Danio rerio: one gene and its partner. Each later gene encodes a partner of the first gene's protein in a complex. Links are inferred from orthologs where the notes say so. Each region holds a gene or a part of one and is shown in the gene's direction. Other genes may lie near its edges.

Region 1 (4,653 bases):
TTTGCTATTAAATTAATTAATATATTTGCCTAATATTTAAAGAGCATTGTTGATATGTCTATATGTAAAATGACGTGTGGGGGAAAAAAACTTAAATCAGTGGAACATTTAAAGTTTTTCTTGTATTCTAGTTTCTCTCTGCAACTCGTTTTGGTCTTTGTCTTTTCTGTAAAAAAAAAAAAAAAATACAAAATTCCATTATATGCATGTTCTTATAGAGGTTTAAAGTAATAGTAAATAATACAGTAGCCTAATAACAGTTGCTATTATAGCCTAAGATAATATTATACTATGCTAATAAAATAACTTTTGATCTTAGAATGAACGTACTAGCCTGTTTGCTACTAAATATATAATAAATAAATAAATATATATATATATATATATATATATATATATATATACACAGAGTGTTGTTGATATGCTTATGTAAATGACTTGTGAGAACACTTAAATCCATGTAACATTTAAAGTTGTTCCTTTACTCTAGCTTATTTCTGCAACTCTAAAGTTTTTTGTCTTTGTCTTTTCTGTAAAAATAAAAGTTATATTTTTTCTTTAATATGCATGTTCTCAAAAAGGTTTAAAGTAATAGAACTTAATACAGTAACTTAGCTGCTATTATAGCATAATAAGCTTATAATACATTTATTAACATTTAAAGTTGTTACTTTATTGTAGCTTCTTTCTGCAGCTGAAGTTTTGGGCACAGGCAAATTACTTGTTTTACGGTATTGAAGTGGAATGTGCGGAATTTGTAAAGCTTCAATTCATCCTGAAGCGACAGCAGTGAGGTCTTTTAAAGTGAGAGCGCCCCTGTTTGATCAAACTCTATCAAACAATTTGTGTTGTTAAAGCTGCAGATGTCGTGTTTAAACTTTACCGGTGAGCTAATGTTTTCTTTTAACGCGGTTTGTTTCCGAGTCTAAATATTATAACTACTTTATTGTTTGTATTATTTTATTATTTGAAATATTTAATGTTTTGGTGTACAAAGAGAAAAAAAAAAGTTAAATGAGATTTAAGGAAATGTATTATTAAATACGACAAGAAGAATGCTTCACATGATTAATTTTAACAATTTATTTTGTTTATTTAACATTTCCACGAGGAGTTTTTTTTTAGATAAAAGCTCGTGCCGCAGTTCTGCCTGGCAACTGACGTGCTCCTCCATTGGTTTAGGCTAATTTGTGCTTCCTTCTTTAAGTCTAACCCCCCAAAAAGAAACAAAAAAATAAAACAAGCCTCCACCCAAGACCACACATTTGTTTCATATATAGCCTACTGAAACCACATTCAAGTTTGTGCAGAAACTTAGCTATATGAAACTTCATAAAGTAATCCAAAATCTTTTAAAAACATTTTAAAAGCCTGATTTTAAAAGCAGACAAGTGACTGTGACCAAATTTATTTTACAAATAAAACTTTTGATATATGCTTGTACAATTACAGTGACAAAAGTTTTTCAATGCGACAGTGTGGGCACCTTGATTTAGGCTATTATACTGCCCCCTACCAATACTAACCCAATACACATCTTCACCCCAGTCTTTTCCACCCCCGATACCCACGACACTAGCAGCCTGCCCCCTGCGCCCCCACCCCGGCCCAGCCTACCCCCACCACCGCTTCTCCTTGGTCACTCGTCACCCGGCGTAGGACCTCCTATTTCCATAGGGCTAAAGAAAGGAGCCAAAACTGAGAAGCAGATAGTTCTTTAGATTGATCCTCCGCCCTGAGCAGACAGCCTCTCGCTCTCTCACAGGCTCGCTGCTGCTGCTTTGATCTTCCCTTAACAACAGTCACGTCATAGGGGAGTTTTGTCAAGCGGAGAGCTGCAGCGAGACTTTTAGAGGGTTCAGCAGAGGCAGCAAAAAGCATCCACGGGACCAGTGTCCGACTCGAGCTCCAGCTTTCTTACTTTTCTCACTGCTAAACACTGAAGATATGGAGCACCAGTTGTTTTGCTGCGAAGTGGATACCATAAGAAGAGCTTACCAAGACAGCAACCTGTTGAATGACCGAGTTTTACAGACAATGCTTAAAGCTGAGGAAAACTATCTCCCATCACCAAATTATTTCAAGTGTGTTCAGAAAGAAATTGTGCCTAAAATGAGGAAAATCGTCGCGACGTGGATGCTCGAGGTTTGTTTTGGATAATATATTTATATATCTCTTTTTTTTTGCATTTGCTGCTACACACGTTGCCTCACGATGATTCTACTCTTGCTCTTTGGACTCCAAGAAGTATTTATTAAATGAAAAAAAATGCTTTAGTGTGACTTGGGTTCATCGGCATTGCTTATCCATCCCAGAAATATCACACAGAAACACGCTGTCCGATTATTGTTGCTTATTTTTTACGTAAAAATGTTTTATTACGAAATATTAATCCGACACGAGACGTTTTCCGTGCTTTCCGCTTTAGCCTTTTTATTTAGGGTTGTTATTTTTTCATGCATGCGTTTCGTTTCTTATAAATATTTTAAAATATAGATACATTTATTTATTTTTATTTTATTTTAATACCAATGTACACGTATGCATTCTCACTCGTGCCAGTAGCCTATTATACGCCATCTTTGTTGTCGTTTGCTTAAGTTTTTTATTTCTCTAAATTCTAAAATGGAAACATAATTGACATCACCTGCATAAAAGCGCTCACAAGTTGTCTTTTAAATCACAGGTATAACATAAATCAAATTTTTGCAAGAAAACGTAATATTTGTGTCTTAAAAGTTTTGTTTCAGTTTGTCATACCTCCTGCACGACGGTCTAAAAATATTGTATTATTTCATTTCTGAATTCAACATCGTGTTATAACCTATCGGATTATGTTAACCCTCTAATAATGTGGATTTACAGATGTTTAACAGTAGATTTAATGCTAAGGAATAATTTATATTAATTTATGAAACACCCGCTTCACCTAAATGTCGCATGCTTCCCTTTGTATGATGGGGCTTTGGATTTCAGTTCATTTCACGTAGTTTTTGTCATTGCAATCGAAATATTTTTGCATAATCTAATAAAGCATGAGTTACAGTACATTTACATGTGTTTAAAGTCAAGCAAAACAATTTTCGTATATTTTTAAATATTTTTTGAAAAGATGACGAACTAGAAAATTGTTTCCTGAACCGAGCTCAGACGCCACCTTTTTGCCTCGAAAGCAACGACCATTAGCATCAGAAGCAAATTGTAACATTTATACTTTGTGCAACACTTAGGATTAAACTTAAATTACTGATTAAATACTATTTTTAAGCATTTCCACGTGTCTTTTTTTTCTAATTTAACCCTTTCCACTGCACGTGTACGAATCAGCAGATGCTAAACACGTGGGATAACTCGATAAGATCAAAGCATACTGTAGCTTAAAAAATATTTGCACTTCGTTTATTTAATAAATTTCTATGAATAGTTTTTATTTTTATTTTTTATTTTTTTTTATTTATATATTTCTACACGTTTAATTAAAAGAATTAGCTGCTGTTGTGACTTAATATTTATTTATCGTATGCACTTTCTTTTCTTTAAAGGTCTGTGAAGAGCAGAAATGTGAAGAGGAAGTTTTTCCTTTGGCTATGAACTACCTGGACAGGTTTTTATCTGTGGAGCCCACCAAAAAAACCAGGTTGCAGCTTTTAGGAGCAACTTGTATGTTTCTGGCTTCAAAAATGAAAGAGACTGTGCCACTTACAGCAGAGAAGTTGTGCATATACACGGACAACTCTGTCCGTCCCGGCGAATTATTGGTAAATGTTTAATACTCTTTAATTTAGCAGCTTGATATTGTTTTCTTTTTTTTTTTTTTTTTGTGCTGAATTAAAGTAAAATAATGCAATTGAAGGTCATTTTGCTCAAAGACCTATACGTTAAGGTATTGCATGAAACAACGAGCTAAATGAGTTTATCAAAGTGTTAAGGCACCCACAGATATCTGTAAATAACAGTACATGTTACAAATTGTTGGTGCTTTTGATGTGTGCGTTAATTGAACGTAGGCCTTGCGTTATTGTGCAATTAATCGACATCTCCATCTAGCGTTCAAAGAGTGTAAAATCTGAAATGGAAAAATCGTCTGGGGCTTTATGTAAACTTGGACCATTTTATATCTCCCTCGCAGCAAATGGAACTGCTGGCGCTAAATAAACTGAAGTGGGATCTGGCCTCAGTGACACCACATGATTTCATTGAACACTTCCTTGCCAAACTGCCTATACATCAGAGCTCCAAGCAGATACTGCGCAAACACGCCCAGACCTTTGTGGCCCTCTGTGCGACAGGTATGTTTGTACTTTTGAGCTCACTTTTATTTTGTTTCGGTAACTTTGCAAAAGTTTTGAGCACTTTATCATGGTCATGCATTGAAGATCCTTCCCTCACAGTGTTTTACTTTCAGGCAGACTTCTTTATTGCAATTGAACGAGCCATCTTGCTTGTCCTAATTCCATACTCACAGTTATTGTAAACCAGTGAGAGGCTCTGCAAAGAGAGAGGAAGTCTGTTTCCTTTTGTGGTGATTGCTGACTGCTCCAGAGCTTCTGAGAAGCCCTGCCTGCTTCACGATACCGCTTCTGTGCACACAGTGCATGTGAACCAAAAAGCGGAAGTAGTTTTCTGACATTTTCCCTGTGAAAAGGGCTTTGT
Region 2 (3,880 bases), about 30 Mb from region 1:
GAGGTGCATCTGTGGGACTGGAGTCGGAAAGAGCCCTTCACTGTGGTCAAAACTGCCAGTGAGACAGAGAGAGTCAGGTTTGATGCACTTTATTTTATTCATCTTTAAAAAACGAATGAAGACATTTTTTAAAACATGAGAGACTTTTGTCGCTATATTAATGTCCCCCATTTATGTTTTAAAAACTTTTAACTTCTGTTTGGTCTTTATGAATGCACGCTGATTAATGTTTCAACAAGAATGAAAGCTTAAATCTTCAGAAGACTTGGATTAATCTCTCAATTCATATGGACTGCTTTTATAATCTATTTAAACTTGTTAAAGGAATAATTCAGCCAAAAATTAAAATGTACTAACCCTCAATCGGAATCAGACCTTTATTGCCTGGTATGTTCACACATTCAAGAAATTAGTTTTTGTGACGGAGCTTCTACAGTGCAACAGAATTAGAAAGACGGGATTGTGTATACAGGTATTTTACAGGTATTTTACTATACACAACGGTATATGTGCAGCTGTTCTGTGCAAATTGGCATGTAAAGTATGTTGTTAAACAAGTGTATATGTGTATAAAAAGTGTATAGCTAGTAGTGATGTTTGCTTCACAATTACTATTAGCAAGTACTCATAAGATGGATTACCTGAGGGAAGTGGTTCTGAAAAGTGTTCTTTTTTGTTGAACGACAAAAAAGATATACTGAAGAATTTTAAAGTACGCTATGCATATACATTCATAGTAGGAAAAAACAAATACTATGTAAGTCAATGATCATAGGATTCCAAAATTGTTTATAAATTTTGTGTTCAACTCAAACAGCTTCGGGACAAGTAAAGGCCGAGTAAACAATGACAAAATCTTCAGTTTTGGTTGAACTATCCCATTAAAGCCCCAAATCTTTGGTACATACATATACTTTCAATGGATGAACAGAAATTTCAGTTGTTATAAAACATAGCTTCAGTTGTGTTTCAAAATTTTTTGTGTGAATCTTTAATAATGAACATTTACTGTACAGGCAAGTCCATCTGATGCTTTTATGAGGCTTCTCTGTGTTTTTTGCAGATTGGTGAGATTTGATCCATTGGGTCACTATCTTCTAACTGCCATTGTAAACCCTTCGAACCAACCGGTTAGTCTTTTTGCTGTTGTTTAAGACATGTATAAGACATCCCATGTTTATTTTAAAAGTTCGGGACCATAAATGTGCTTGTATTCGTTTGTTTCAGAATGATGATGATCCTGAGATTCCAATGGACAGTGTGGAGATGCCTCATCTCCGACAGCGCTCCTTCCTGCAGTCCCAGCCTGCGAGGCGCACACCCATCTTGCACAATTTCTTGCACATCCTCACTTCCCGCAACTCTGTTCCTCAGGCTGGAGGTGCCCATTCTGCTTCCACTGATGGGTCCTCCGATTCTTCTGGCCCTTACACTCTTATGTGCGTTCAGCCGCTTGGAATGGTGTGTTTTTGTAGCCGTTGCTCTGCAGCACGAGTTCCATCTCCACCTGATGAGGACCCTTCAGACTCGGCATCCCTGGAGGCACAAGCTCACACCTTTTCTTCTGCACGCACAGAGCCACTGCAGATGTCACGGTTTTCTGTTGAGTCTCGTGCTGCAAATCGCTCCTCTGCATTCAGCAGCGTGTATGGTGGAGGCAGCAACATGCGGAATCATTCTTCCAGCTCTGGCAGGAGGGGAGTGACTGGAATGGCACCTGTCCCGCATTTCCGACAACATCCACCAGGTAGGGAAGGTGGAGGACGTCACCCTGGAGCAGACTGGACAGTCAGTGGACTTAATGGACAAAGCAGTAGTATGACTCCACAAAGAACTGGCGCTTCCTCTGTTAGCCTTCTTTCTGTCCTGCGACAGCAAGAGACTTCCTTTCAATCACCTGTTTACACTTCTGCTAGTGATAGATGGGGCAGCACACCGGGAACTAGTTCCAGCAGGCACCGTCCTCCAGAAGAAGAGGGACAGAGCAGCTCCTCTTCCATCCACAGTGTCCTGCGTTGTAACCTTTACCGCTATTTTATGGATTATGAGGGAACGCAGGACACGGTCCAGCCTCTTGATGGCAGCAGACAGGACCAGCAGACTCAGGAAATGCTCAACAACAACATGGACCCAGAGCAACCAGGACCATCTCATTACCAGTCACCCTATAGCGGTGAAAACCCTCCCCACAGTCACATGAACCGCTGTAGAGTATGCCACAATCTTTTCACCTACAATCAGGGTAGCCGGCGCTGGGACAGAACAGGTCAGCCTTCATCTACTGAGAGAAACACACCATGGCAACCTTCTAGTTCTGCCTTCCACAGCGTAGCTCCAGTTTCACAATCTAATGAACACCTACTGGAACACAGACCCATAGAGTCCACACCAAATACCCCAGAGCCTCATGTACCATTTTCCCAGAGAACTGACACTGGTCAGCATGAGGAGCAGGCCGTTGGGCTTGTCTTTAACCAGGAAACTGGCCAACTGGAGCGTGTTTACAGACAGTCTGCCTCCTCTCGCTCTGCAAACATATCACAAGGAGCCTTAAACCAGGAAATGCCTGAAGACACACCAGATAACGATTACTTGCGCAGGTGAGGCTGTAGTCTTTTTTTTAATTGCTTAAACAACTTGTTCCATGAGGAATTAAGCATCCAAAGGTTTAAATGTTTCATTGTACAACAAAACATGCTGTTTTGAAGTTTCCAAACCAGTCCAACTTTTCTTAAAGTTAATCTACAACAGTGTTTCTCAATTCTGGTCTTCGGGACCCCTCCTGCTCTGCAAACTTTGTTATGTCTCTCTTATTTGTCACACAAGGATCAGTTCTTGGATGTCTATTATTGAGCTGATGATCTAAATCAGGTATCTTTAGTAAGGAAGACATACAAAATGTGCAAGGCGGATGGTCTCGAGGAATGGAATTGGGAACCACTTATCTGCACTAAAAGCTAGCTCGTGGATGCCCAAACTTGTCTTGGAGGACCGGTGTCCTGCAGATTTTAGCTTCAACAGTCAACACACCTGCACAGATGTTTCTAGAAAGCGAATACCATGGTCACAGTAGAGTTTGAGTATGCAAAATTCTGTTGTATGGCGTTTGCCAAAAGGGCCGGGATTAAACGAGCTGATTAGACTTTTAAAAAATTAGCTATTGATCCATATTTTAAATTTCTATAATGAGAGGTCATGTTTTGATCTTCGATTGGTCTCACACAATCACATGATGCGACTTTGCAGGTCAGAGTTTACCAAACTTGACCTTTTCAATCCAGCGAACTGCACAGTGAAATGTCGCACAGGCTTGTGTTTCCGGTCTGCTGCCTTCTCATGTGTATGAATGGAAGTCTATGGAGTGAAAAATGCAGTGTAACCGCGGCTTTAGTAAGAGCTTGTTTGGCTAGCCCAGGTGTGTGTTATTAGGGTTGGAACTAAACTTTGCAGGGCCAAGTTTAGGCACCCCTGAACTAGCTTGCAATTCCACAACTTATTAATGTCAGATGATGCTCTTGGTCCTCTATATAGAAATAACAGCAGTGATTACAGATGTTTAGAAACTTTTCCCAATCTGCCACAATAAGGTATTTTGTTTATGTTGACCAGTTGTTTGCCAACATTCAACATTTTTACTGACAACAACAGAAAAAGGTATGGCCATATTTGCACTACCATTCCAAAGCAACAGTAAAAGCATTTCAAACAATATTAACAGTATATCACTGTTTCCACAACCAAAGCTGCACAACTGTTTTTCCAGCATGTATCATGATATAAAAATGCTTCTTGGGCATTAAATTTGCCATACTATCACAAATATTTCTAAAGCATCCTCTCAACTGGAGTAATTCAGATTTAAACAACATTTAAGCTTTCA

What was found. Proteins that work in one complex are often made in the same cells at the same time.
Region 2: the proteins of ccnd1 (region 1) and ambra1a are in contact, whole or in part, in a cryo-EM structure (PDB 9IVD), measured with the Homo sapiens proteins. The link is inferred for Danio rerio from reciprocal best matches to the Homo sapiens genes CCND1 and AMBRA1. Residues at the interface, in NP_444284.1 of Homo sapiens: Thr286, Pro287, Thr288, Asp289, Val290, Arg291, Val293, Asp294, Ile295; in NP_001354397.1 of Homo sapiens: Arg54, Ser55, Phe57, Val73, His75, Arg96, Thr97, Trp99, Leu116, Ala139, Arg184, Ile945, Asn1012, Asn1029.

The regions. Positions count from the first base shown.
Region 1 is NC_133182.1:69,631,975-69,636,627, reverse strand, and holds the start of ccnd1 (G1/S-specific cyclin-D1), read left to right. Parts: upstream 1-1,668; 5' UTR 1,669-1,947; coding exon 1,948-2,145; intron 2,146-3,542; coding exon 3,543-3,758; intron 3,759-4,129; coding exon 4,130-4,289; intron 4,290-4,653. UniProt on the Homo sapiens protein: Regulatory component of the cyclin D1-CDK4 (DC) complex that phosphorylates and inhibits members of the retinoblastoma (RB) protein family including RB1 and regulates the cell-cycle during G(1)/S transition.
Region 2 is NC_133182.1:39,567,251-39,571,130, reverse strand, and holds part of ambra1a (activating molecule in BECN1-regulated autophagy protein 1A), read left to right. Parts: coding exon 1-77; intron 78-1,063; coding exon 1,064-1,130; intron 1,131-1,227; coding exon 1,228-2,600; intron 2,601-3,880. UniProt on the Homo sapiens protein: Substrate-recognition component of a DCX (DDB1-CUL4-X-box) E3 ubiquitin-protein ligase complex involved in cell cycle control and autophagy.